Linked DNA regions of Canis lupus familiaris. The protein of the gene in region 1 purifies or fractionates together with the protein of each later gene. This does not show direct contact. Links are inferred from orthologs where the notes say so. Each region holds a gene or a part of one and is shown in the gene's direction. Other genes may lie near its edges. The genes, in order: XPO1, DDX19A, NUP88, HDAC3, NMD3, NUP62 and CDKN1B.

What was found.
Region 2: the proteins of XPO1 (region 1) and DDX19A fractionate together in Homo sapiens (co-fractionation; 3 studies listed by BioGRID, with this or other methods). This does not show direct contact. The link is inferred for Canis lupus familiaris from reciprocal best matches to the Homo sapiens genes XPO1 and DDX19A.
Region 3: the proteins of XPO1 (region 1) and NUP88 purify together in Homo sapiens (affinity purification with mass spectrometry; 3 studies listed by BioGRID and IntAct, with this or other methods). This does not show direct contact. The link is inferred for Canis lupus familiaris from reciprocal best matches to the Homo sapiens genes XPO1 and NUP88.
Region 4: the proteins of XPO1 (region 1) and HDAC3 purify together in Homo sapiens (affinity purification with western blotting; 3 studies listed by BioGRID, with this or other methods). This does not show direct contact. The link is inferred for Canis lupus familiaris from reciprocal best matches to the Homo sapiens genes XPO1 and HDAC3.
Region 5: the proteins of XPO1 (region 1) and NMD3 purify together in Homo sapiens (affinity purification with western blotting; 3 studies listed by BioGRID and IntAct, with this or other methods). This does not show direct contact. The link is inferred for Canis lupus familiaris from reciprocal best matches to the Homo sapiens genes XPO1 and NMD3.
Region 6: the proteins of XPO1 (region 1) and NUP62 purify together in Homo sapiens (affinity purification with western blotting; 4 studies listed by BioGRID and IntAct, with this or other methods). This does not show direct contact. The link is inferred for Canis lupus familiaris from reciprocal best matches to the Homo sapiens genes XPO1 and NUP62.
Region 7: the proteins of XPO1 (region 1) and CDKN1B purify together in Homo sapiens (affinity purification with western blotting; 4 studies listed by BioGRID). This does not show direct contact. The link is inferred for Canis lupus familiaris from reciprocal best matches to the Homo sapiens genes XPO1 and CDKN1B.

What each region holds. Positions count from the first base shown.
Region 1 is NC_049231.1:62,877,691-62,881,662, reverse strand, and holds the start of XPO1 (exportin-1), read left to right. Parts: upstream 1-1,172; 5' UTR 1,173-1,348; intron 1,349-1,900; exon of another isoform or gene 1,901-1,920; intron 1,921-2,600; exon of another isoform or gene 2,601-2,739; intron 2,740-3,972. UniProt on the Homo sapiens protein: Mediates the nuclear export of cellular proteins (cargos) bearing a leucine-rich nuclear export signal (NES) and of RNAs.
Region 2 is NC_049226.1:76,930,576-76,934,075, forward strand, and holds part of DDX19A (ATP-dependent RNA helicase DDX19A), read left to right. Parts: intron 1-168; coding exon 169-283; intron 284-3,175; coding exon 3,176-3,353; intron 3,354-3,500. UniProt on the Homo sapiens protein: ATP-dependent RNA helicase involved in mRNA export from the nucleus.
Region 3 is NC_049226.1:31,574,764-31,578,263, forward strand, and holds part of NUP88 (nuclear pore complex protein Nup88), read left to right. Parts: intron 1-458; coding exon 459-628; intron 629-1,554; coding exon 1,555-1,680; intron 1,681-3,500. UniProt on the Homo sapiens protein: Component of nuclear pore complex.
Region 4 is NC_049223.1:35,735,357-35,738,856, reverse strand, and holds part of HDAC3 (histone deacetylase 3), read left to right. Parts: intron 1-5; coding exon 6-87; intron 88-217; coding exon 218-274; intron 275-394; coding exon 395-450; intron 451-834; coding exon 835-968; intron 969-1,494; coding exon 1,495-1,575; intron 1,576-1,960; coding exon 1,961-2,034; intron 2,035-2,198; coding exon 2,199-2,263; intron 2,264-3,177; exon of another isoform or gene 3,178-3,391; coding exon 3,392-3,481; exon of another isoform or gene 3,482-3,500. UniProt on the Homo sapiens protein: Histone deacetylase that catalyzes the deacetylation of lysine residues on the N-terminal part of the core histones (H2A, H2B, H3 and H4), and some other non-histone substrates.
Region 5 is NC_049255.1:27,425,707-27,429,978, forward strand, and holds the start of NMD3 (60S ribosomal export protein NMD3), read left to right. Parts: upstream 1-1,472; 5' UTR 1,473-1,615; intron 1,616-1,980; 5' UTR 1,981-1,992; coding exon 1,993-2,036; intron 2,037-3,741; coding exon 3,742-3,876; intron 3,877-4,272. UniProt on the Homo sapiens protein: Acts as an adapter for the XPO1/CRM1-mediated export of the 60S ribosomal subunit.
Region 6 is NC_049222.1:107,310,875-107,315,092, forward strand, and holds the start of NUP62 (nuclear pore glycoprotein p62), read left to right. Parts: upstream 1-1,418; 5' UTR 1,419-1,551; exon of another isoform or gene 1,552-1,769; intron 1,770-4,218. UniProt on the Homo sapiens protein: Essential component of the nuclear pore complex. The N-terminal is probably involved in nucleocytoplasmic transport.
Region 7 is NC_049248.1:12,565,065-12,568,035, forward strand, and holds CDKN1B (cyclin-dependent kinase inhibitor 1B), read left to right. Parts: upstream 1-1,324; coding exon 1,325-1,799; intron 1,800-2,349; coding exon 2,350-2,471; downstream 2,472-2,971. UniProt on the Homo sapiens protein: Important regulator of cell cycle progression. Inhibits the kinase activity of CDK2 bound to cyclin A, but has little inhibitory activity on CDK2 bound to SPDYA. Involved in G1 arrest. Potent inhibitor of cyclin E- and cyclin A-CDK2 complexes.

The sequences.
Region 1 (3,972 bases):
CCGGAGCGGGAGCGGGAGCGGGCGGGGGCGGGCCGGCGCGGAGCCGGAGAAAGCCGAGCGGCCGCCGCCGCGCGCCGCGCTCAAACTCGCGCGGCTCCCAGCTCACGGGCGGCGCCGCACCCTCGCCGTCACCGAAGGCGCCCAGCCAATGAGCGGGCCGGAAAGGCCGGGCCTGCGGGCCAAGCCGCGGGAGGGGGAGCCGCGGGAGGGGGACGGGAAGTCGGGGGCGGGCTGCGCTTGACTGACAGGCGGCTCGCACCAATCCTCGGCGCAGCTCGTCGTCGCTCCCTTCGCGGCTGGGCTCGGCTCCGCGTCCCCCCTCCTCCGCCTCCACCCCCCCTTCCTTGCTCCGCTACGACCCGCCCCGCTTCCCCTCCCCCACTCTGCAGGCAAATCGCTGCTGGAAAGAGGCGGGGGCCGAAGCGGCGGGCTCGTGTGGAGACTTGAGGTGGGATTGACGGGCGGCCTGGCCAATGAAACGCAGGCTGATGGCGCGGCTGTGGCGGGAACCGGCCAATGGGCGGGCGGGCTGGGGGCGGAGGCCCAGGTTCCAAACGCTCCGCGGCGCCATGGGCTGAAAACTCAACCGAGATGGAATCTCCCAGTCTGAACCGGTTTCAACCGGTTCCGAGTTTGAGGCACTAGGAGGAGGGGGAGAAGCGGCTGCAGCGGCCGCGGCAGGAGCAGCGGGAGCTACAGCATCAGCAAGAGCAACAGTAGCTACAGCCCCGGCGGCGGTGCCTGTTCCAGTCTTTGCTGCTGCAGTCCGTGCAACCACCCAGAGGGGGAGGGGGGAGCCACCAGTCGCTGAGAAGCAGGAGAAGGGGGGAAAGTTTAGGCGAGCCCGGGTGGGGGGGCCCAGCGCCGGAGCCGCGTGAGAGAGGGAGCCGTGTTTTGGTCGGGGGGAGTCGGACTGCAACTGGCAGCGGAGCGTCCCCCGGCCTTGTGGACTCTCTGCCCCCTACTCCTGCCGCTTCTGCTGCCGCCTGTGGCTGGAGGGTCCCCCTGGGGCTGAATCTTTGGGACTTGACCCCTTTCCCCTCCCCCTTCCCTCACTCCCCAGCCAGGCGGGAGCATTTATTCCACGGATTAATTCCCCTTCCTTTTTTTGCGGGGGGAGGGCGGGTGGGTGTGTGTCGTGGGGGTGTCCCTGAAATAGTAAATATTGTTGAGCTTTTTTTTTTTTTTGGCCCTTATCTCCGTTGTTGTTGTTTTTTTTTAATTTCCCTTTTTAAGGTGGGGAAAACTGTGAAACCCACCTTGATTTCCTCCCCTCTCCCCCCTCCCCACCTTCCCTCGCCCTAATCCCCCCGGCAAGGAAAGAAGCAGCAGTTGGTTCAATCTCTGGGTAAGTCGGCTGCGGCTCCGGGGCCGAGGGGCGGGCGGCGGCCGGGCGGGTGGAGGCCGGCGTGGGGCGCGGCGGCGGCGGCGGCGGCGGCGGCGGCGGGAGGCGAGCCCGGGAGGCGGCGGCGGGCCCACGGCGGAGCCCGCGATTGAATGGAGCCGCTTCTGCCGCTGGGGGATGGAGGCGGGGAGGCGGCCGCGGGAGGGTAGCGCTTGCTGGGCTCTCGGCGTGTGCGGGTGGCGGTGGAGGAAGGCGAGGAGCGTGATAGTGAAGCGGGGCCGGTGTGGGGGCGGCAGGGCTTCCCCAGCCCGGGGGGCTGGGGAGAAGTTGGGGTGATTTCAGGAACATCTCTGTAAATTATTAGGAGTGGAAGTTTCCAGAAATATTTAGTGCAGCAGCATTGAAACGTCCGCCTGCATCACGTGGCCCCTCGGTGGAGAGCTTGGGATCGGGGGAGGGAGGGGCTGCCGAGTCCCTCCTCCTCCTCCTCCTGCAAGGAAACTCGAAATCTTTTCTGATTTTTTTTTTTTTTTTTAAGCGGGGTGGGAGGCAGAGTAGGATTAGAAGTAGGAAAGGTTAGTGGATTGTTGAGGGTTCTGGAAGTGGGGTTCCGTGCTGTAGTTGGGGGGAGGGGGCCTGAGAGTGGGGCGATCGAATGGTTTCCTGCTGGCAGCGTGCGGCGGAGGATGCCCTGGTTCTGCTCCGCTCGCCCGTCTCCGAGCTTGGGGTGCGGCGGGGAGGGCTGTAGTAGAGGCGGCTTACGGTGTGCCCGGCCCGGGGCGCCTCGGCTCAGGCGGAGGCCACGCTGCCCGGGGACGCGGCGGTCGACTGGGGCGCGGGGTGGGCGGGGAGAGCGCGCGCCCCGGGTGCCGCGGCGGGGAGCGCGGCGAGGGCGGGTCTCCGCGGGGTGCGCGGCTGCTGAATGGGGCCGCGGCGGCCCGCTCGGCCCGGGAGCGCCGGGGGTGGGTGTCTGAGCTAGTCCTTGGCGATCCCGAAGCGGCGGTCGCGGTCCGGATGGGGGCTGGCGGCCCCGCCGCGGGAGGATGCGGCCCCGCGCTCCCCGTGAGGGGGTCTCCGGGTGCAGCTCCCGAGGAGGCGACGCGGCCGCGGCCTCGCTCCCCCGCGGCGCCCGTTGGCGGCCGGCCCGCCCGGGTGTCTCCGCGTGTGGGACGCTGCTGGTAGTGGAAAGAATGTTTTGGAAGCTGCTTGATTTTGGGGGGGGGGGGGCGGACTCCGTGTGCTTGGCATGGACCAGAACGCCGCCATTTCTGCGCGGTTCAAGAATAGGCAGGTCATTCGGAAGGTAGCCTGGTTCTACGGCCGGCGCCCGCCGGAGTTGGCGCAGGCGCTGCCCGGAACCTGAGTGTTCGCAAGAATTGAGCTCGGAGAACTCTGTAAGGACAACGTACTTGAGCACGGGACTTTTTATAGTCAAATGGTTCTTTTTGTTTGGGTTGCTAGATTGCGAGAGGACGACATAGGAGGAAAGTTTGTTCTGTCCAATCTTTTAACCAAAAATTGAAAACTTAGGCCACGTACGTCTTGGTGCTTTGTGGGCACCTGTTTTTCAGCCTCAATTTTAAGACTGTTCTGATCCTTTAAAATTTTGTGGTGTTTGGTGGGAGGGAATGTACACGTTTGTTGGAATATACTTCCATTTTTATATTCATATTTAAAGACTTCTTAATGCACGTCTGATATTGTTAAAAACAGTAATAACTGCTATGTAATTTTTGGAGATCTCAGTTTTTGCTGTCAGTAACGGGTTGAAAGATTTCAGAGGAATGAGTCTTTGAACTCTTAGTTTTTCAATTTTTCCGTTATCCCTAACCTGACTCATTTCTTTACTTCTGATTTTTTTTTTTTGATAATTGGCATTAAGGAAAGCATTGGAGTTAAAATTGAAATTGCTGCCATTGTTATGAACATTTTTAAACTGCTCTCAAGTAGCCAAGAAATAACGTCTTTTTTCGTACCAAACATAATGTAATCAAATCCCACCCATTTCCTGATCCTGGAAGGTTCTTAAGAGGGGGGAGAAGTGGTGGTGACCAGCTGACCTTGTTGGGGCTAATAACTACAGTCAACCAGGGATTCTTAACCTGAGGTTTCATGCATGGCTTTCAAGGTGTCCTGGATTTTCTGTAATTGTGTATACAAAATTGTGAGTTTTAAAAAATTTTGGCAGGAGCTATCGTGTTGTTCAGATTGTAAGGCATCTTGACCCAAAAAGATTAAGGAGTACTGAATTAGCCAGTCAGACTCAAGTGGCATTGGCTTTGAAGAAAAAGCAAAGGAAAGATTTTTTTTTTATAATGCTGGGCAACAAAATTGTGAATATGTGCCAGCATCTTGGATTAGAATCCTCTTAAAAGGATAACATTGCATATGAACTGGTAGGCTTTAGTCAGTACATTATGTGAGATAAAGAAGCTCACTTTTCTGTTATCCTAGAATTTTTTATTTGGAAAATAATTAGCAAACTTTTTATAGGTTTTTTAACCTTCCCAATGAATACCTGGAAATCTAAAACATTTTTTTGACATATTACCATAGTTTTTCTAGAATGTGTTCAGGGAATTTTAATCTCCAAATTCATTGAGGGTTGGAAGAAACAAATAGATGGT
Region 2 (3,500 bases), on another chromosome or scaffold:
GGGCTCTCTGCTGAAGGCTTGGGTCTACAGCTGAAGAGTGGGCCTGGTTGGAGAGGATGTGGTTCGCTACTTTTGAGTGGTAATAAGACCAGCATATTGTTCCTTTTGGGCCTGTTGTCTATTACTAAAAGGCTCTCCTAAACTCAACCTTTATGATCTCCCTGTCAGTGTCTGTGCCTCTCCCCAACATATGAGCTGGCGCTTCAAACGGGAAAAGTGATTGAGCAGATGGGCAAATTTCATCCAGAACTAAAGCTTGCTTATGCTGTTCGAGGCAATAAATGTGAGTATAAAGGGGTGAGACCTAAGCAGTGAGCAGGATAGGGTAGTTGGGTATTTGAATATTGAAGATGTGATGATGATGTTAAACTTTCTGGTTCACTTGACCTTAGGACCCACTGCATTGCTTTCAGCAAATCTGTTTTAAACTTGCTATTTAATAGTCCTTTCTGCTCTTAAAAGAGGATTTTGAGTTGTTAGGAAAATCTTTGTATGCGTCACAGAGTTGTTAAAGTCTGGTGTTCTTCACTGAGAAAATAGGATTTTGAATTCAGCATCCAGAATTCTGGAAACTACTTACTAACGAGGAATTAGTAGGTCTGAGGGATGGTAGGTTGGGATCATATCTCTTTGTTTAAAAATAAGCACAGCTTTAGTAAGAGTAAACTAGGAGTATATACAGATAACTTGGTCCTATTGAAAATAGAAATTCTTCTACCAATTTTTTCTCCCATGTGTTCTACAGAATGTAATGTAAAAAACAAGGACTAAGATGGAGATGAGGGGCAGGTAGAAAACTGATCATTAGAAAGCTATCAGGATATATAAAACCTCAAGTCATTAAGAAAAAAGCAAGCAGTCTAAATAGGAAAGAAGCCCAATTGAACAGACACATCACAAAACAAGGGATTCAGAGGGCCAGTAAATATGAAAAGGTGATCAATACACCTCATTTGTCATCAGGGAAATGTAAATTAAAACCACTATATGCCTCTCAGGTGGGCAAAAATGAAGAAGTCTGACAATACTAAGTGTTGATGGAGACCTACAAGAACTGGAATGCCCGTGTACTGCTGGTGGGGCGTATACACTAGTACTTTCTGGAAGCAGTTTGTCATTGCTTAGAAAAACTAAAAAGAGACCTCCCTTTCACCCAGCAGTTTGTAGTTGCCTGGAGCAATGGTTCTTGAACTTTTTGGTTTCTTACACTCTTAAACATTATGAGGACCCCACAGCATTTTTGTTTATACAGGTTTTATCTGTTGATATTTGCCATTTTGGAAGCTAAAATTGAGAAATTATACTTCTAAAGAATATGAAGAAAATTTGGCCTTTCTGATAATCTTAGGTACCTTTTTTAGGTGCTACACCAAAACATAACAAGTGGTAATTACTTAAGAATTAGTTCCAGTATGGAATCTGAAATCCTGTTACTGAACTTTTCATACTGTTAAATTAAAATACCTTGGTCTGTGGAAAATTCTGTCTTACTGAGTTACACTGATCTTCCAGATGTTGACACATCTCATTATACAAACTTTTTAAATTGTCTGCACAAATATTACCACCAAACTCATCAGAGTTTATAAAATCAAGAAACTCAAACTTAATGGCACATACAAGTCTACTAAAACTCTAATTCTACTTTTCTCTTGAAAGTTTAAATGTTACTGTGGCAGCAAATACAGTAGATTGTTTTCATTGAAGAAACAGCCTGTTCGTTTTCAAGAAAGTGGATATCAGATTCCCAACTTCATTTTCTATAGTTTATCGGTCAACTGAGAGAAATAACTAAGTTCAGCTCACCACACAGTCACAGAAGAGCTTTTCCTGGAGAAAACCATCATGCTTCAGCATGCAGCAAAACTACTTTATCCAAAAGTTTTTAGGTTGATTATGTAATTTGTGTGTTTATTTGATGTCTCACAGTGGTGGGTACATCTAAGTGTAGATACCAGAATCTTGTAACAACATATAACTTCTTAAGATTTTGTAATAAGATGGGACTTCACTGTGTATGAAGGATTAATAGATTAACTATATTTAATGTATTATTTTTAAAGGTTCAATTTTGACTTAGAGGCAGTGGACATTGAGAACTACATTTGAGTTAATTCAAAAATTTTCCAATGGATAACTGATGAATTTCTAATGAAAGGCCCTTCTCCTTAAATTAAATTTTGTTTTTAAAATAGTTATCCTTTCAACTTGTGAAGGTATTATGTGGTAGAAACTTTTTTCTCCCATATCCCCAACCACCTAGCTCTCCATTCTCTAGGCACTCAGTACTAACCAGTTTCTCATGTGGTGCACCAGAGATATTGTGTGGCTGCAGGCACATCGTGTGTGTGTGTGCGTGCATGTGTGCGTAAGTATGTAAATGTGTACACTTCATACATGTATATGTATTACATGTATTCGTTCTTTGCCTCTTGGTATACAAACTGCTTTGCAACTTTTTTTCACGTTTCATAATGTATTTTCGAGATTTTTCCTTATCAGTTCCTAAGTAGTTTTTTACTTTTCTTGGCATCATCCATTGTGTGTACCCTACTTTGCTTAATTAGTTACTGTTGAATGCCGGCATAGCCTTGCGTATTTGTTACTGTACACATGTTAACATACATACGGGGTTCATTCCTAATCATGGAGTATTGGTCACAGACTATGCACATTAGTAATTTTAATAGGTGGTTGTACCAGTTTCAACTCCAGCAGCTATAATTTGAGAGTAATGTGTTTTTTAGCACATGTACTTAGGAAGACTGTCTATATTAGAATGTTAACTAAAGCTCACTAGGCCAGGATCCTGGGACTCAAAACTACCAGTTGAAGAGAAAATCTGTGAACTGTGAGTGAATGTATGATGCAAAGTGAGTAAGAGTAACGCCAAGGAGAATGAGTAGGATAATGCTGAATTACAGGAGGAAACAGAAGAGAGACATGGCACTTACTGAGAATTCACTGCATAGGATTGAATCCTGACCACTATGCTGGGACATAGGTGCCATTGTACGACTTTAAAATAGAAGAATCCAAGACTTATGGATAATGCTCTTGTGTTTTGACATCTGGAATTAACTTGTTTTACTCACTCTGGAAGGATGGGCAAGGCTTTGATTTCCAAAACTGGTTTGCCATGGAAATACCCACGGAAAATGTCTTGTCTCCACAGTGGAAAGAGGTCAGAAAATCAGTGAGCACATTGTCATTGGCACCCCTGGGACTGTTCTGGACTGGTGCTCCAAGCTCAAGTTCATTGACCCCAAGAAGATCAAGGTGTTTGTTCTGGATGAGGCTGACGTGATGATAGCTACTCAGGGCCACCAAGATCAGAGCATCCGCATCCAGAGGTAGGAACTCTTGAGCCAAGAGGAACTTCTCGCCTCTTGATCTGCAAGTAAAAATCTTGTTCACTGTATCTCCTCCTGCTATATCTAACCCCTCTTCTTTCTCCAGCTGGGTTATTTGCTTTTAGAACCTTCAGAAGCATTTGTTTG
Region 3 (3,500 bases), on another chromosome or scaffold:
GGCCGTCTCCCGGACCATGACAGCCAGCCACAAAAGGAGAAGGAAGAGCTGTCGAGAGACACAGGCTCACAGAGTGTGATGGCTTTGTGGAGACACAGCTGGCCTGGTGGTGTGTGGAGGCTGTCGGGGGCGGACTGGAGTTCAGTCATGGAAAGGGAAATTATGCGTACTATTTATTTTTAAGGTAGGGAAATCTAAAAAGGGGGGGGGATCTGATGTGTTTTCTGTTACATTTCAGTCAGTGGTTAAAAATGCCCCATCGGTGAATAGCCACAGCGTTAGCACATAATTACCCAAAAGGCTTCATTGCTTTGCAGTTACGGGCACAGATGGGCAAGTAAAGCCGGGCCTGCTTCAGTTACTGTACAAACTGCACTGTAATGCTAGGGCCTTCAAGTGCCTGCCACATATATTTACATTGAAATGAACCATCTTGACCAGTTTGCTTTCATTTCCAGAGATTGCTCTGCATAAATCCGCCCCTGTTTGAAATCTATCAAGTCCTGTTAAGTCCGACACAGCATCATGTAGCACTTATAGGAATAAAAGGCCTCATGGTGTTAGAACTACCTAAAAGATGGGGGAAGAATTCAGAATTTGAAGGTGGAAAATTAGCAGTGAACTGTAGGTAAGTTGTGTTTCCACTGAGTGTTGGTCTAGTTTGTGATACATATGGAAGTTGTTCCAGACCCATGGTTCTCATGCTGCATTTTCTGTGCTGCTGCTCCAATACCACGGGTCCCCAACTGGTCTACACGTGGGCTTTTGGCTGTCCCGTGTATAGACCCATGTGATTCTGCCCATTGCTGTCTCACCGCAGTTTCAGCTCGTCCACGTGGGCAGAGATATGATAACTTTTGAAAAGTGGTTACCCTGTGAGGCAGATGATCTGTTTAACTAAGTTAGATTTTTTTTATCTTTTTCAACAAATCCCGAAAAGTGAGAGTCTGAAAGATCTGTTGGAAAGAGTATAAGGTTGAAACCACCTTTAGCTCCACAACGTTCCCTTTCCCATATCTGTTTCCTCATTTGCACAATCAGAGGGGTAATATTTACCCTGTCATTCTTTTACCAGGTCACTAAAGGGATCAAGTCAGTTAGGAAATCTGAGTCACTTGTAAAGTATAATACACTCTGTGACTTAGAAAATGTTTTTATTTTGATCCTCACTGATATCGATGCAACAGATGCTCTGAGTGCTCTTCTCTTTTTTTTTTTTTAATTTTTATTTATTTATGATAGTCACACAGAGAGAGAGAGTGAGAGAGGCAGAGACACAGGCAGAGGGAGAAGCAGGCTCCATGCACCGGGAGCCCGACGTGGGATTCGATCCCGGGTCTCCAGGATCGCGCCCTGGGCCAAAGGCAGGCGCCAAACCGCTGCGCCACCCAGGGATCCCCTGCGCCACCCAGGGATCCCCCTGAGTGCTCTTCTCAGCAAGATTTGAGAGAAAGAAATTTGAAGAGCAAAGAATGTTAAAATAGATTTTCCCTTAGAAGGTTTTTCATCCACATTCTACAAAATGTTTTGGAAAAACTGTTATTTTTATTTTAGTACCACTCCCATCGCTGAGAGATTTTTCACCAGTTCTACTTCTCTGACTCTGAAGCATGCGGCCTGGTACCCAAGTGAGCTGCTGGATCCCCACGTTGTGCTCTTAACATCAGACAATGTAATAAGGTAAAGCAGTTTTTAACTCTTGTAGCTTTGTGCAGGGAAGTCTGTGGTCCTGTTTGCTGGCTGCCAGCCCAGGGCACCCCTGGACGGGTCACCAGGTGTCAGCTTACTGTGTCTCAGGGCTGTTGTAACCACTGAGGCAGAGCTGCCCATATGACTGGCCTCAGATGCCTTCGTTACTGCTCATCCCCTCAGCCAGGCCTCCTACCCCTCCTTCCCTGACCTTCCTGAGAGAGCCCCTCTCATCCTGTTGCTCTTCTGGAGGCGATGCACCATAAGAAGGTGAAAGTATAACTGGGAGTTCAGGTGAGAATTCTTGTCCCAGTGCCCCTTCTGTCCTGGGGATCTTAAACTTTAGGGGGCCTCAGTTTCCAATTTTGTAAAATGAGCCAGTTTAATCTGACAGGTTTTGGACTCTATGATTAAGTGTCCTCAATCTGCAGAGATTTCTGTAATATAATTAGTTATCGTCCTGGATCTGCCATACATTTATTGGGGAGACTCGGCAGAGGTAAAGATCATTTTATTTTTCCTAATCACTGCTTTTAACTGTGCTCTACTAGATTCTCCTCCTCTGCTGAGCACTTTGCCCTTCCTGGCCTTTTACATAATCTCATAGCTGTCTGCTGACTTGTAGTTATTAAAATTTGGTGTGTCCAGTTTAAAACGCTGATGTCCAGTCCGTCCCAGCTCTGAGTCCCGGCTGGTCACACAGACCGGACGCTGATGGGCGTGATGCAAGTGGAGAGGGCACGATCTGCTCTGGCTCTTGTTTCTGTACGGCACCTTGAGAGCCCTGGGCCCTTGTCGGGATGGAGTATCCTCGCACTTGCGATGCAGCCATTGTGGTCTTTCCTGTGGAGTCGTGATGATTCCAGCGTCCTCTCCTCTGCCCTCTGAGGGTCACGGGGACCTGGGTATCTGTTCCATGGTCCTTTCTTTCTTTTTTTTTTTTTAATTATTTATTTATTTATGAGAGACACAGAGAGGCAGAGGGAGAAGCAGGCTCCCTGCAGGGAGCCCGATGTGGGACTCAATCCCAGGTCTCCAGGATCACACCCCAGGCTGTAGGCGGTGCTAAACCGCTGCACCACCGGGGCTGCCCTCCATGGTCCTTTCTTACACCATTCCAGCCCACCTCCATTAGAAGTTTCCTATGAGGGATGCCTGGGTGGCTCAGTGGTTTAGCGCCTGCCTTCAGCCCAGGGCATGATCCTGGAGACCCGGGATCAAGTCCCGTGTCGGGCTCCCTGCATGGAGCCTGTTTCTCCCTCTTCCTGTGTCTCTGCCTCTCTCTCTGTGTGTCTCTCATGAATAAATAAATAAAATCTTAAAAATAAATAAAAAGAAGTTTCCTATGAGAAGCAGATACAGTGTAGCATATTCACATGCTCCCAACCCTTGGGTGTGGCTCATCAGGTTCACTCAAGAGCTCCCTTCCCTTGGGTGCCTCTGGTTTCCTGCACTATGGCTGGCATTCGCCAGGACGCCTCTAAATCTCCTTGAGTGTCTCCCCACCCATTTGGCTTTGGACTTGGGGCCAAAGAAGGAAAGGGATGCTCTCCCGCCACAGAGGCTATGCTGTACATGGAAGAACTCCTGATGCCTGCCCCTCCTGGTCTTAGGTTTTTGGGTTTAAGATTATATTTATTTGAGAGAGAATGTGTGCTCAGAAGGAGCGGAGGGAGAGGGAGAAGCAGACTCCCCACTGAGCAGGAAGCCTGATGCAGGACTCGATCCCGGGATCTGGACCTGAGGTGAAGGTAGATGCTTCACTAAGTCCCCCAGGCGCCCCTCCCACAGGCTGAGATCTTACACCTGAA
Region 4 (3,500 bases), on another chromosome or scaffold:
TGCAGCCCAGTGTTTCCCGGGCTCTTCGAGTTCTGTTCTCGTTACACAGGCGCATCTCTGCAAGGAGCAACCCAGCTGAACAACAAGGTGCCTGTGGCCCTGAGTCCTGTTCTCCCTTTCCTATGGGCCCTTCCAGCTCAAGGCCTTAACCCTGACCCTGAGCTTCCAGCTTTGGGGGTGGGCAAGTAGGACTATGAGCTCGGTGTTTGTTTTTCAGATCTGTGATATTGCCATTAACTGGGCTGGTGGTCTCCACCATGCCAAGAAGTTTGAGGTGAGTGAAGAGGTGATGGGGGAGACAATGAGTGCCCTAGCATAGGTGGTCGGGATGACATCAGGGGCAGCTGGGTAGAGGAATTGTTACTCTCTTCGTAAGACCACTGTCTCACCATAGGCCTCTGGCTTCTGCTATGTCAATGACATTGTGATTGGCATCTTGGAGCTGCTCAAGTAAGTAGCCTGGGAGGAGATGGAGGGATATGAGACCCATGGCCGAGGAGTTCTATTACACTATGCTGGCCCTGACCCTTTCCTCTGCCCCTACACTAGCTTCTTCATAGTTTTTAGTGCTTTACTCAGACTACCTATTCCCTGCTCTGCTGCAGACTCCCTGCTGCCCACTCACATTTCAGTCTTCTCTGCACATCCCTCTCCTGTCCCTGCCTCCAGGCAAGAGTCCCAGCGTTGCCTATAGGGAACTGGTATTAGGTTTCAGGTGATTTGGGCTTAAGTAGAATCTTCGTAATTCCAGATCTTGTTTTGGGAGGTGTGAATTGGGGGTGTTCTTGCTGGGGTTCCCTTCTACCTCAGACCCTGGCTTGGCTCTCATTCCAGGTACCACCCTCGGGTGCTCTACATTGATATTGACATCCACCATGGTGATGGAGTTCAGGAAGCGTTCTACCTCACTGACCGGGTCATGACAGTTTCTTTCCACAAATACGGAAACTACTTCTTTCCTGGCACAGGTATGGGAATAAGGATGATCATCCCCTTCACACCCTCAACTCTTTACCGTGATAGCCTCCTGCTCAGCCTTCAGGTCTTGGCTCAGGTGACTTCTCAGAGAAGTGTGTCCTCACCACCACAGTTAGAGTAATCCCTCCTTCCCCATTACTACCCCATGTCACTGCTTGCTTCTCTCAGAGCACTCATTGCTGCTTGTATTTATTGCAGTGTTTTGTTTTGTTTACTGTCTTGTTTCATCATGCCCACCCCCCAAGAATATAAGCTTGGTGGGATTTCATTAATTTCATCCATTCTCTCTATTGCTATATCCCCAGTATCTACTGCACAGGTTGGCTCATGGTAGGCCCTCAAAGATTATTTGTTGAATGAATGTAAGCCACAAGAGAGTAAATGTCTATAGGGAACATGCAGTGGAGGTACATAGATATAGTGAGAGGCCCTCAGTGTACAGATTGAAGTTAAGGCAGCTGCGTTGTGGGTACTTCCTGTGTATGGCTCCTACCCCCTCCTCCCACCTCCCTATAGGTGATATGTATGAAGTTGGAGCAGAGAGTGGCCGTTACTACTGTCTCAATGTGCCCTTGCGGGATGGCATTGATGACCAGAGTAAGTATTGAAGTCTTTTCCCTGCTTACTAGGCCCCTTCTTCCTCTCTTTAAATTAACCTCTTCTGCCTGGTATTGTCTACTGTTGGGCCAGGTGTCCTTAAGGATGAATGGCCTTCAGAGGGACCATTAACCACCCCTCCCTCCCCCGGAAATTGTATGCAACATATTAGGTGTATGTGCATTTTTCTGGGAAAAGGGTCATTGGCTTTCATTAGTCACTCAGAATGCTCTGGGACCCCATCCAAAAGTTGAGAACCATTGATTTGGTTCTTTGGGTTGCCCCTTTCCCTGGGCTACATGCTCGCTCAACCCCTTTTTTCCTTTTGTTCCCTGTCTCCCCATCCCCTTGGGGTGCCAGGTACCCACCTTTGGCCCTCTCTCAGGTTACAAGCACCTTTTCCAGCCAGTTATCAACCAGGTGGTGGACTTCTACCAACCCACGTGCATTGTGCTCCAGGTAATACTCTAGGTGCCTCCTCAAGAGGGTTCTGCTTGGGCTTAGGGGAAGAGAGCAGGGAGGAGGATAGCCCTTGTGTTTATTGGGGAAGTGAAGTGAAGGACATCTGGGACATTCTGGTCAGTTATCCCCCTGCAGCTGCCTGGGGTTTTGCTTTTTTGCAGTGTGGAGCGGACTCTCTGGGCTGTGACCGTTTGGGCTGCTTCAACCTCAGCATTCGAGGACATGGGTGAGACTTGCCCTCCATCTCTGCCCCCAGGTTTTCAAAGTGGCTTTGGGTCTCAGTACATGGAGTAGGTAGGGGTAGTTGGTGAATGGGCCATAGGAAGAATAAGAGAGTCACTCTCAGGCAGAGAGACACTGAGACATGGGAGAGCTGGTGTAGCTGAGGATGTGAAGTAAAAGCAGTCAGACAAGAACACATGTCAAACCATCTCCGCAAGCTGGAGGTGTGGTAAGGTTGGCCTAAGAAGTTGGCAGTGGTAAGATTGTGCAGAGCCGTTAGACCCTGGTGAGAATTCTGGATTGCATTTCAGATATGATGGGAAACTGTTGGAAGATGTTAAACAGGGAAGTGACATGATCCAATTCATGTTTTAAAGCTACTGCTTGGGGCATCCCTGGGTGGCTCAGTGGTTTAGTGCCTGCCTTCAGCCCAGGTGTGATCCTGGGGTCCCGGGATCAAGTCCCACATTGGGCTCCCTGCATGGAGCCTGCTTCTCCCTCTGCCTGTGTCTTTGCCTCTCTCTATTTCTCTCTCCCTGTGTCTCTCATGAATAAATAAATAAAATCTTTAAGAAAAAAAATAAAGCTACTGCTCTGATTGGTGAATGGAGGAAGGTTTAGGGTAGGGGTAGGGGACAGGAGTGAAAATGAGAAGGCCAGTTAGGAATCCCTTGGTGTTGTCCAGGCAGCAGATGTGGTACCTGGGCTTAGGTGGAGATGGCCAATGAGAAGTAGGTGATTTGAGTTATATTTTAGAGGCTGGAGCTGACAGCACTTGCTGGTGCTTTGATGAGAATAGTTGGTTAACAAATGAGATGCCAGGATGGGTATTGAGCAGGAGGGAGGTGGGAAGGTCCTCATTTCAATTTTTACTGAGACACAACATACATATATATATATTTTTTTTTCTTGCTCCACACGCAGGACTTTATTTGGACTGGGGCCGTCACAGGCCTACATACATATATTAAAGTACACATATCTCAAGGGTACAACTCAGTGAATTTCACTACCTAGATCAAGATACGGAATCTTTTCTAGTTCCCTTGTGCCCTTTCCAGGCAATACCTAGAGAGCTATACTTTGGCTTTTGATAACTTCCTCCAGCCATTCCTTTGGTTCCTTTTAACAGAGAATGTGTCGAATATGTCAAGAGCTTCAATATCCCTCTACTGGTGCTAGGTGGTGGTGGCTATACTGTCCGAAATGTTGCCCGCTGCTGGTGAGTATGCTTCCTGATT
Region 5 (4,272 bases), on another chromosome or scaffold:
GATAATTCATTCACCACCATATATTGAGGGTCTGTTTTGCACCAGGCACTGTGCTAGGTGCAGGGAATGTGGAGAAGAGACTTGGACTGCTCTCCAGCAATTAGACCTGTGGAACATGCAGAGTAGAAAATTTACGATCCAATTTAATGTTGTTGGCACCATTACAGAGGCATATACCTCTATAAAGATGTAGGACCACACACAAAGGAGGAACATCTTTTTCAGACTTACCACCTCTAGAAGTGTAAGATAATAAATTTGTGTTATTTTAAGCCATAAAATTTGTAATTTGTTGCAGCAGCAATAGGAAACTAATATATGGTACTTGAGCTTAATCTTTATGGCAGACTGTCCCAAGCATAAGCAAACGTAGACTAGCTCCTGTAGGACTTTTCAGTGGGTCTGTTTGGCTGCGTGCTTGGGAGCGTGACAGGGTATGTCAGGATTAGATCCTAAAGTGTCTTCCTCCCATGCAGAGAAATTGGAAATACTCTGTAGGTTGTCGGAGGCCACTGAAGGATTAAAAGCAGGACAGTGCGACAAGATCAGATTTGCATTTTAGAAGGATAGATTGGAGTCTAGAAGTAAGAGGAAGGAAGGGGAGATTAGGTACCCTAGGCAAGAGAAACGAGGAGGCCTATTTTGATCACCTTCTCTAACATGACCTTGCTTATTCCTTGAAATTTGGGGTCAGAGGACAGAAAAAATGATTGTGCTCTTTAAATATTTGAGATTCTGTCATGAGAAAGAGTGGTTAGGCATGGTCTGTGCCGTTCTAAGATGAAGGCATAAAGTCATAAAGAAATATTAAATGCATTATCGGGAAGCACATCCTTTTAAATTTTTTATTATTTTATTTTATTTTTTAAAAAGATTTTATTTATTTATCGATGAGAGACACAGAGAGAGAGGCAGAGGGAGAAGCAGGCTTCTGCGGGGAGCCCCTTGTGGGACTCGATCCCAGGGCCCCCATCACCACCTGGGTGGAAGGCGGGCACTCAGCAGCCGCGCCACCCAGGCGGCCTGGGGAGCACGTCCTCATCATCAGTGGGCTAAAAACATACAGACCTCCCATTGAATTGGGACTCCTCTTTATTTCTTGCATCTATTCAACAAATACGCATTTGACTAGGGCGCAGCGGGCATCGGGCAAATGATAGGAACAAAAGAGACAAAGACACCGCCCTTGACGGAGTTTAATTTCTTTGCATGTTGTGTCTTTGCATATTGCGTTTAGAGACAACTTTTATATAATCGCTCAACCAAGAGGCACGCAAGCTCCCCATCAGGATGTCCGAGCAGCGATTTACACACCTGGGCGAGGTTAGCTTGCGGTGACCCCCCCCACCCGCCCCCCGGAAAGCCGGCGCAGGGCGGAGGCAGGCCACGCCCCTCCCGCGCTCGCCCCGCCCCCCCGGGCCGCAGCCCCGCCCCTCGCCGCTCGCCTCCGCCCCCACCCGCCCCCTCAACTTCCAGCTCTCGGCCCACGGGAGTGCGGGCTCTTCTCTCGCGAGATCTTCGCTGCGGGGAGCCGGCCGTGGTGGCCGCGTTGGGGGCCGCGGGGGCTGTCGGTCGCGGCCGCCCCGCCGGGCTGGGTCTGCCTCAGGAGCGCTCGGTAGGTTCCGCGGCCGAGATCCGGCTGCTGGCGCGCGGGGGGCCTGGAGCGAAAGAGCAGGGCGGAGCCCCCGGGCTCGGGCAGGCCTGGGGCCGCGTGCGTGCGGCGCGGGCCGGAGCGGGCGGGAGGCCGCAGCCGCCGGGCGCGGGGCCGGGGTCGCTGAGGGGGCGCGGAGCGGTGCGCGGGCCGCGGCGGCGTCTGGGGAGCGCGCGGTGCCCTGGCCCCTCGGAGCTGCCGCGTGCGACTGGCTCTCGTCGGCAGCTCTGCGACGCGTGGCCGCCGTGTCCACAGACGGGAGGTTTGCGCGGAGGTGAATAGCCCCAAGGACTTAAACCCCACAAGCCGTTCTTTGTCTTTGCATCAAGGTGTGCGGAGACATGGAGTACCTGACGGACGCCGCCGGCCGCACCCCCGGACACATGTGAGTCGTACCCCCCCCCCCCACCCCGGTCCTTTAAATGTAAAAATATTAAAGTGAGTCTTTGAAACTTGCTGCCTGTGAGGAAAGCTTTTTTTTTTTTTTTTTTTCTTGAAGGGAATTCTTAAGCGAAAAGCTTTATTTCCTGAGACAATCGGGATCGTTTTTTAGTTGAAAAGTTTGTTGTGGTAAACACCTGCTGATTTAAGAGCGTTAAAATATTCGCTTTACGTCGTTCTCCGCTGGCACTGTGCCATGTGATAGCTAATTAGCCATGTGGGGCTATTTAAGTGTAAAATTAAAATGAGATAAAATTAAATATAAGCTCTTTAGTCCTAGCGGCCAGGTTTCAGGTGCCCAGTGGCCCCATGGGCCCGGCGGCTACCCTACAGAACGTCATGGATTATAGAACATTTCTGTACCTGCGGGTCTGTACCTGGGTGGCTCAGCGGTTGAGCACCTGCCTTCAGTCCAGGGCCTGATCCTGGAGTCCTGGGATCGAGTCCCGCGTCGGGCTCCCTGCGTGGAGCCTGCTTCTCCCTCTGCCTCTCTCTCTGTGTGTCTCTCATGAACAAATAAAATCTTTTTTTTGATGTACTTTTTAAAAATTTTTATTTATTTATGATAGTCACACAGAGAGAGAGAGAGAGGCAGAGACATAGGCAGAGGGAGAAGCAGGCTCCATGCACCCGGAGCCCGACGTGGGATTCGATCCCGGGTCTCCAGGATCGCGCCCTGGGCCAAAGGCAGGCGCTAAACCGCTGCGCCACCCAGGGATCCCGAACAAATAAAATCTTAAAACATTTCTTTGGGACAACATCAGTGATCGCTAAACATCTTCTGTCTCAGTACACCTAGAGTTATGACACAAGTCCATTATACAGAATCACACTAGCCCTGATACTCTTCTTATTCTTTGACAATTTTTCTACTCTGTTTATTTATTTGTTTTCTAAAAGACTTATTTATTTACTTATTCATGAGAGACACGCAGAGAGAGAGAGAGAGAGAAAGAGAGGCACAGACACAGGCAGAGGGAGAAGCAGGCTCCACGAGAGAGCCCAATGCGGGACTGGATCCCCGGTCTCCAGGATCACGCCCTGGGCTGAAGGCGGCGCTAAACCCCTGAGCCACCCCGGCTGCCCTCTACTCTGTTTGAATGTTTACGTTTTGGCAGTTCTATACTGGCTCCCTAAAGAAAAATGTCTTCGGACGATAATAGATCTGTGATGACTATTCTTAACAGATCTATTAGACTCTCTCTTGACCCTTTGGACAACACCATACTTTGAGGATTTTTGGAATTATAGCCATCCTTGGATTTTTTGCTGCAGTATTCCAAGGTGCTACTTTATCTACAGCATCTTTGAAGATTACTTTGCCAGGTGTTTTTTTGTTTTTGTGTGTGTGTGTGTTTTTTTTTTAAAGATTTTATTTATTTCTTCATGAGAGACACACACAGAGAGGCAGAGACACAGGCAGAGGAAGAAGCAGGCTCCATGCAGGGAGCCCGATGTGGGACTCGATCCCGGGTCTCCAGGATCATGCCCTGGGCTGAAGGCAGCGTTTAAACCGCTGAGCCACCTGGGCTGCCCTGTTTTTGTGTTTTTTAAGCAAAGATATGGCCTCCCCTGAAGGCTTTTGTTTGTTTAACAACCAGTGCATTTATGAAACCTAATTTGAAAAATTTATGCTCTGTTTATTTAAGCTTGTGCTGTGAGTGTGGTGTCCCAATCAGTCCAAATCCTGCCAATATTTGTGTGGCCTGTTTGCGAAGTAAAGTAGACATCAGCCAAGGAATTCCGAAACAGGTCTCTATATCTTTCTGCAAGCAATGTCAAAGGTATGATGCGGTACTATTTTATGTTACGTAAAGTTGAGTTTTATATCTATATATGCTGATGTGACATAGAGGTACATAGACTAAAAGCACACATAATTGAGATTTAACTTTTATTTATGTTGGTGTTGCCAGACATTTTAGGATTTGCAATTTTGTAGTGTACTTCTCTAGTTTGAACCCTGATAATCTGGTAAAGTTAGTGTAAATGTATTTGAATCTACTTTCTTTTAGTCTTATAAGGGTTTAATAGGTTTGGTATATACAGTTAATAGATATTGAGTTGGGTTTTTAAGGGTAAGTGAAAGCAGATTACTAAGAATATAATATTGTTATTATCATGAGGGTTTTTTTTTTTTTCATTTTAGTCACCAGAAGCTCTGTATGATAAACAGCCTC
Region 6 (4,218 bases), on another chromosome or scaffold:
CACTTACTTTTCTTTAGAATTCCCAAGCCCTGTTCCTTCCTATACAAAAACCTAATGGTCTCCCAGGGGAATTTCCTTAAGCCCTTCCCTCCCACCTCACAAAATTACACTTCATTAAAAAAAAAAAAAATCAGGGCAGCCCGGGTGGCTCAGCGGTTTAGCGCCGCCTTCAGCCCAGGGCCTGATCCTGGAGACTCGGGATCAAGTCCCACGTCGGGCTCCCTGCATGGGGCCTGCTTCTCCTTCTGCCTGTGTCTCTGCCTCTCTCTCTCTCCTCTCTGTGTATTCTTATGAATAAATAAATAAAATCTTTTAAAAAAAATTTCAATCCCAGGAGAATTTTCTTCCAGCCACACCCCTTCCTCTAAAGTATTTCCTTTAGGCTCCATCCCATCTAAACACTCGGCTCAAAAATCAGCTCCCAGGGATCCCTGGGTGGCGCAGCGGTTTAGCGCCTGCCTTTGGCCCAGGGCGCGATCCTGGAGACCCGGGATCGAATCCCACGTCGGGCTCCTGGTGCATGGAGCCTGCTTCTCCCTCTGCCTGTGTTTCTGCCTCTCTCTGTGTGACTATCATAAATAAAAATTAAAAAAAAAAAAATCAGCTCCCAGGGGAATTCCCCCAGCCCTGCCCCTCCAAACCGTGGTCTACTAAGTCCCACGGCTTCTTTTTAGCTTCGCGGTGACCGCCCCAGTCCCTTCCCGTCCAATTACCTTAGCCCCCCACTTCATTCCCGGGGATACCCCAGAGGCCCCGCCTTCTCTCCGTTGAAACCCCACCCCAGGTAAATTTGCTTAACCACGCCCCTTCTCACGATAGACCCCCGCCCACCCGTCGCAGCCGCTGATCCTAGCTCCACCCCCCTCCTTACAGGTGGCCTCTAAGCCTCGCCTTCCGCCCTGTCAATCTGAGTCAGCCCCACCCAACCCCGCCCCAGCAGGTGCCCGAATGAAACATAAATTGTGTTGTGCGCATGAGCAAGGTGGAGCTCGGAGACGGGAGCCGGCCGGCGGAGCCACACGCCTCTCTCGCAGGGCTAAAGCGCATGCTCTGCCACTGATCCAATTGTTCTCTCAGGCCTGCGGGGTTGGGGAGTCAGTGCGCATGTGCAGCTGCTTACTGCCCGCCCTTCACTCAAAAAATACGGAGTCTGGTGGGCTTGTGCACGTGAGCAACCGCTCGCGGACAGACTCATTCGGGGAGCGGGGGGCGACCCCCGCTCGGGGCTAGTGCGCAGGCGCACTGCGTGCAGGCCATCTTTAAACTCCAGCATTCTAGGGAAGAACGTACCCTTCCCCCACTGGACCGAATGCGCATGCTCGGCCGCGTGCCAACGACGCGTTTCCCTCTTCTGCGCCTGCGCGACCGTGATTCCTCACTCTCGTCTCCCCACCCCCCAGGCCTGGTCGTGAAGGCCGCGAGCTTCGAAAGGGCGGGAAAGGCGGTTGGAGAGGGAGGGGCGAGCGGTTACTCACTCCATGGCTACGGAAAGGAGAGGCGGCGGCAGCCTCAGCTGAAGAAAAGAAGGCGGTAGAGAAGAGCGCAAGCGCGGTGAGCGCGGAAACGGGCCGGGACACGGAGGGGTCGCGGCTACAGAGCCATAGCCGGGGTTGGGCGGGCGGAGATGGCGTCTCGGTAGCCTGAGAGGAGATTGTGATCTGTGGATGGGGAATGAGGCGGCCCCGGGGAGTGGGGACAGATATACAGGGGATGGCGCAGCACGGCCTCCCCGGATCCATCCGCGCCCCGCCCCGCCAGGCCCCAACCGGGAGGCGGGCCTGGCCTCTCCTCTCGGGAATCCTGGAATCCACTCCCCTCCTCCTCCCGACGCGGAGTTAGGCCTTTTCCTTCCTCTGACCCGGGGACCAGCTCCGTCTTCCTACCCCAGGGGTTCCGGCCCCCGTCCTCCTTCCAACTCTGGGGTCCTGTTCTCTGTCTCTCTGACTCAGGTCCCCTCCCCCCCAATTCTAGGGATTCGATCCCTCGCCTTCTCTGAGACCTGCCCTAGTTCACTTTTGGTTTCTTTTGCCCTAGTTCTCGAATTTCCGGCCAGCCACATGCTGGACTCCTATCCCCAAACTGCCGCCCCACGCTAAGAACCCTTTTTGTGGGTTAGACTCTTGTCTGAGTCACAATGAGACCGCGCGCGCCGTTCAAATCTCAGACCTGCGATGGTGGCCAAATAATCAAGTTCTCTAGTCTCGTAGATCGAGAACTGCCTGTAAAATGAAGAAAATAATCAACTCTGCCTGATGAGAATCAAGTCGATGCCTGTGAAACCCAGAGCCCGGCTCTTAATTGCCTATTTAATGTATCTTATTTTTAATAGGAACTCTGGGGTTGAGTCTCAACCATACCTCCTGCCCTGGCAAGATCCCCAGACATTTGACCATACAATAGCTGCTAGTAGGTCATTCTTGTGTCTTCTTCACTTCTTCAAGGTGTCAGTAATTGCCAGACATCCCCACCTTTCCCTGTTCCAGATGATGGACGCTCACCCGCAACACCAGCACAGTTGCAGAGAAGCAGGCATCATCACCCTGACTGTAGCTTTTCTCCATCCTCTGCCCACCTCCCATCAGCCCTTATCCTTAGCCCTCCTTTCAGGCCAGTTGGTTCTGCTTCAGCTGCCCCCCACTGGATCAGTTTACCAACCCTGCCCCAAAATAGGGAGATCTGCACTGCCCTTTGCTAAAAGAGAGGGGGCTTCCTGGCCATTCCCTCCTATGCACTAGACCCTCCACTGGCCCAAGTGGGTATGGGTCTTTACTTCCCACCTTGCATCTGTCCACAGCAGGACACCTAGAGTTCAACTTAACATCACGGGTGGTGGTTCTGAGGTCCAGAGAAGGTGGGGGAACTCTGATCTTGAGACTTATTTGGGAATGAAGATAGCAGGCTTCAGTTGCATGCAGGAAGTCCTTCTTGGGATCTGACCACTTTCACTTAGAGCACTTACTGTGTACTGTGCCAGTATTTGAAGATTTGACCTATAGGGGCTAGGTTATTACCTAGGCAGCATGAGTAGCAGTTAAGTGCAGACTCTGGCGCCCAGTTTTGGGTTCAGACCTTGTCTCTACTCCACTTATTAGCTTACTGTCAATTTCTTTTTTTCCCTGTGCCTCGGTTTCCACTACGTTCAAATCTCAGACCTGTGATGGTGGCTACATTATTTTATCGCTACGTTTCTATTAACTCCATATAGAAACTTAGCGATACATGTGGCAGCTAACAGTGCTTACTTCTGGGGTGCCTGGCTGGCTCAGGCGTGTGACTCTTGATCTTCAGGTTGTGAGTTTGAGCCCCACATCAGAAGTAGAGTTTACTTAAAGAAATAGTGCCAGGCAGCCTGGGTGGCTCAGCGGTTTAGCGCCACCTTCAGCTCAGGGCCTGCCTGTTCCTGGAGACCTGGGATCGAGTCCCACATTGGGCTCCCAGCATATGGAGCCTGCTTCTCCCTCTGCGTGTGTCTCTGCCTTTCCCGGTGTCTCTCATGAATGGATAAATAAAATCTTAAATAATAATAATAATAATAATAAGTAGTGCCTACTTAGTACTGTCACAAGGATTCAATGAGTTAATTCATAATTCAGGTCAAGCATTTAGATTAGTCCTCCTTTCTGCCCCCCCAAATCTTAAGTCTTCTAAAAACATCTAGTATGTACACATGGACTAGGCAATTTAAGTAAATTTTTATTTTAGAATAATTTTATTTTTGGGCAGCTCCAGTGCCCCAGCGGTTTAGCACTGCCTTCAGCCCGAGGTGTGATCCTGGAGACCCAGGATCGAGACCCACGTCGGGCTTCCTGCATGGAGCCTGCTTCTCCCTCTGCCTGTGTCTCTTCCTCTGTGTGTGTGTGTGTTGGTCATGAATAAATAAATTAAAAATCTTTAAAAAAAATTTTTTTTTATTTTTACAGAAAAGTTACAAACATAGTGCGGAGAGTTTCCATATACCCCACATCCATTTTCCCTGTTGTTGACCTCTTTAACATTTCTGTGATATATTTGTCACAACTAAAGAACCCACGTCGGTATGGGATTTTAAAGTGCACACCTCATTTTGATATTCTGATTTCACTAGTTGTTTTTGTTTTTGTAGATATTTACTTTAGAGAGCACAGGCAGGGGGAACAGCAGAGGGAGAAGCAGGCTCCCCACTGAGCAAGGAGCCCTACCCAGGGCTTGATTCCAGGACCTTGGGATCATGACCTGAGC
Region 7 (2,971 bases), on another chromosome or scaffold:
GCAGAGCCTCCTAGGTTCAGAGGGAGCTAACCACTGCTCCCCGCTAGCAGAGGCACCCAGGTCGGGGTGGGGGCGGGGGCGGGGGCGGGGGCGCGGCTCCCGGCCCCTCCGCGAGCGCCAAAGGCCGCCCAGCCTCCCCGCAGCGCCGGAGCCGGGGGGGGGGGGGGGGGGGGGGGAGAGCGCAGCGGGGGGGGGGCGGGCGGGGAGAGCGCAGCTGGGGGCGCAGAGCTCCCACGGCCAGCCTCCGCCCCCCGCGGCCCGCACCCCCGGCTCGGCGAGCGCGGGGAAGACGAGCTCGCCACCGGGCCACCTAGGAGGTCATCTGATCCTGCCCCCTCCGTCTCCCCGCGCGCGGAGCGGGCGCGCCAGGCAGCGCAGCGCGGGGACCTGAACCCGCGGCCCCGCCGCCCCCGCCCCCGCCCTCCCCGGCTTCCCGGCCGGTTGGCTAGTTTGTTTGTCTCGTTTTTAATTTCTCCGAGGCCAGCCGGAGCAGGTTTGCTGGCAGCCGCGCACCTCCGGAGTCACGCGACCAGCCAGGCTCCGGGCGGCGCAGTCGGAGGCGGGCGCGCGCCCGGGGAGGCGGGGCGGGGCGGGGCGGGGCGGGGCGGGGCGGGGCGAGCGGGAGGCGTCGCGGCCGCCGGGGCCACCTTAAGGCCGCGCTCGCCAGCCTCGGCGGGGCGGCTCCCGGCGCCGCAACCAATGGATCTCCTCCTCTGTTTAAATAGACTTGCGGTGTCAATCATTTTCTTCTTCGTCAGCCTCCCTTCCACCGCCATATTGGGCAACTAAAAAAAAGGGGGCTCGTCCTTTCGGGGTGTTTTTCTCCCCTTCCCCTGTCCCCACTGCCTCGCCGCTCCGCGACGCCGACGTCCGCAAGGTTTGGAGAGCCGCTCGGTTGGCGGGACCCGCGGGCTCGCGGCAGCCCGGGCTTGGACTGGCTCTGCCGCCCCTCCCCTCCCCTCCTCTGCCCTCCTCTGCTCGCCTCTGCTCGCCTCTGCTCTGCTCTCCTCTCCTCTCCCCTCCCCGCCCCGCCCTCCCGCTCGCCGGTCCGCTAGAGCGGCGGCGGCTCTCGGCTGCCGGGCCGGGGCTTCCCCTCACCCCTCACCCCTGCCCCTCCCGCCTCCCGCCTCCCCCGGGCCAGCGCGCCCCTGACGCTCGGGCAGTTACTTGCGCGTGTTTGTTTCTCTTGGCTCCGAGCGCGATCGCAGGGCTTTCTAGGGGGCGGTTCGGGCTGGGTCGGGGCGTTTTGTTTTGTTCAGTTTTGTTTTCCGAGAGAGGGAGAGAGCGCGCGCGCTCGCGGCGGTCGTGAAGACCGGGGAGGAGGATGTCAAACGTGCGAGTGTCTAACGGGAGCCCGAGCCTCGAGCGGATGGACGCCAGACAGGCCGAGTACCCCAAGCCCTCCGCCTGCAGGAACCTCTTCGGCCCGGTCAACCACGAAGAGTTGACCCGGGACTTGGAGAAGCACTGCAGAGACATGGAAGAGGCGAGCCAGCGCAAGTGGAATTTTGATTTCCAGAATCACAAGCCCCTGGAGGGCAAATACGAGTGGCAGGAGGTGGAGAAGGGCAGCTTGCCCGAGTTCTACTACAGACCCCCGCGGCCACCCAAAGGCGCCTGCAAGGTGCCGGCGCAGGAGAGCCAGGACGTCAGCGGGACCCGCCAGGCGGGGCCTTTACTGGGGTCTCAGGCCAACTCAGAGGACACACACTTGGTAGACCAAAAGACTGATGCGCCCGACAGCCAGACGGGGCTAGCGGAGCAGTGCACTGGGATCAGGAAGCGACCCGCGACCGACGGTAACGACCCCTCCCCAAGCAGAGAAGGTCTGGGTGCCCAGGACCCTAACCGCAGCTTGCTTTTCCAGAGTATTCCGATGTAGTGGAGGTGGGTGGGGGGAGCGAACTGCCCTCCTCTTGGGTTTTAAATGCTTGTCCGCCTGGCTGCCTGGCTGCTTATGATTTTTAAGTCAGGAGCCTGTTTTTAAGTCAGTGAGATGCTGTTATCTGATCATTGCTCCAACCGAAAACATCGCAGTTCCTCCCGGCTGGCCAGCGCTGGGTCTGTGACTACGTTGGGATGTTTATCAACGGCCTCCCTCTTTGCAGTGGGGAGAGAGAGAGAGAGAGAGAGAGACAGCGAGACAGCTCTAGGGGCATAGAATACACTTTCTGTTATGTGAAAACAACCTCATTCTGTGCCCTTAAAGGCCACCGGGAATGACGGATCCAGGATGGTGGGTGGAGGTGTGGGTTTTTCATCCCCTGACTATTGTGCCAACTTGTGTCAGCCATTGTTTTTCTAATAAAGATTGTGTGTGTTCTTTTTAAAATTCCCTCCTGCCCTTAGATTCCTCTCCTCAAAACAAAAGAGCCAACAGAACAGAAGAAAACGTCTCAGACGGTTCCCCGAACGCGGGTTCAGTGGAGCAGACGCCCAAGAAGCCGGGCCTCAGAAGACGTCAAACGTAAACTGCTCGGTGGGTTGATGACTAGGAGCAAGAAACTGACACTCCGAAATGGGCTTTCACACCCCGAGATACCCAATCTTGGTGGTTGCTGGCAGAATGGAGCTTGTGGGTTTTTGTTTCTATTTTGTGAGGTGGAAAAGTAGGAATGGGGAAGGCTGGGAATCGCTGGTGGGGATCCTGTAATTTTTTTCACACTGTCTACGTCCTGAGGTCATTTTTCCTTGAAAACACGGAATAACCAGAGCAAGTGTCCTAGCCAAAGTACTTGTGACCGAGGCTGGATGATGAGTGGGAAGGTCAATTCCCTGTGAATCCCACCAAAACCGTTGGGAACAATAGGTTCTTTCCCCCCATCTGAGCAAGAACTGGGATATGCTTCAGTCCCACTTCATAAGAATTCTTTTCCCAGAGGTTTCAAGTTGAGTCAGTAACAGATTTTGAGCCATACATGGGAAGAAGGCAAATAAATGATAAAAGTTAAAATTTGAGGGAAAGGGTGCA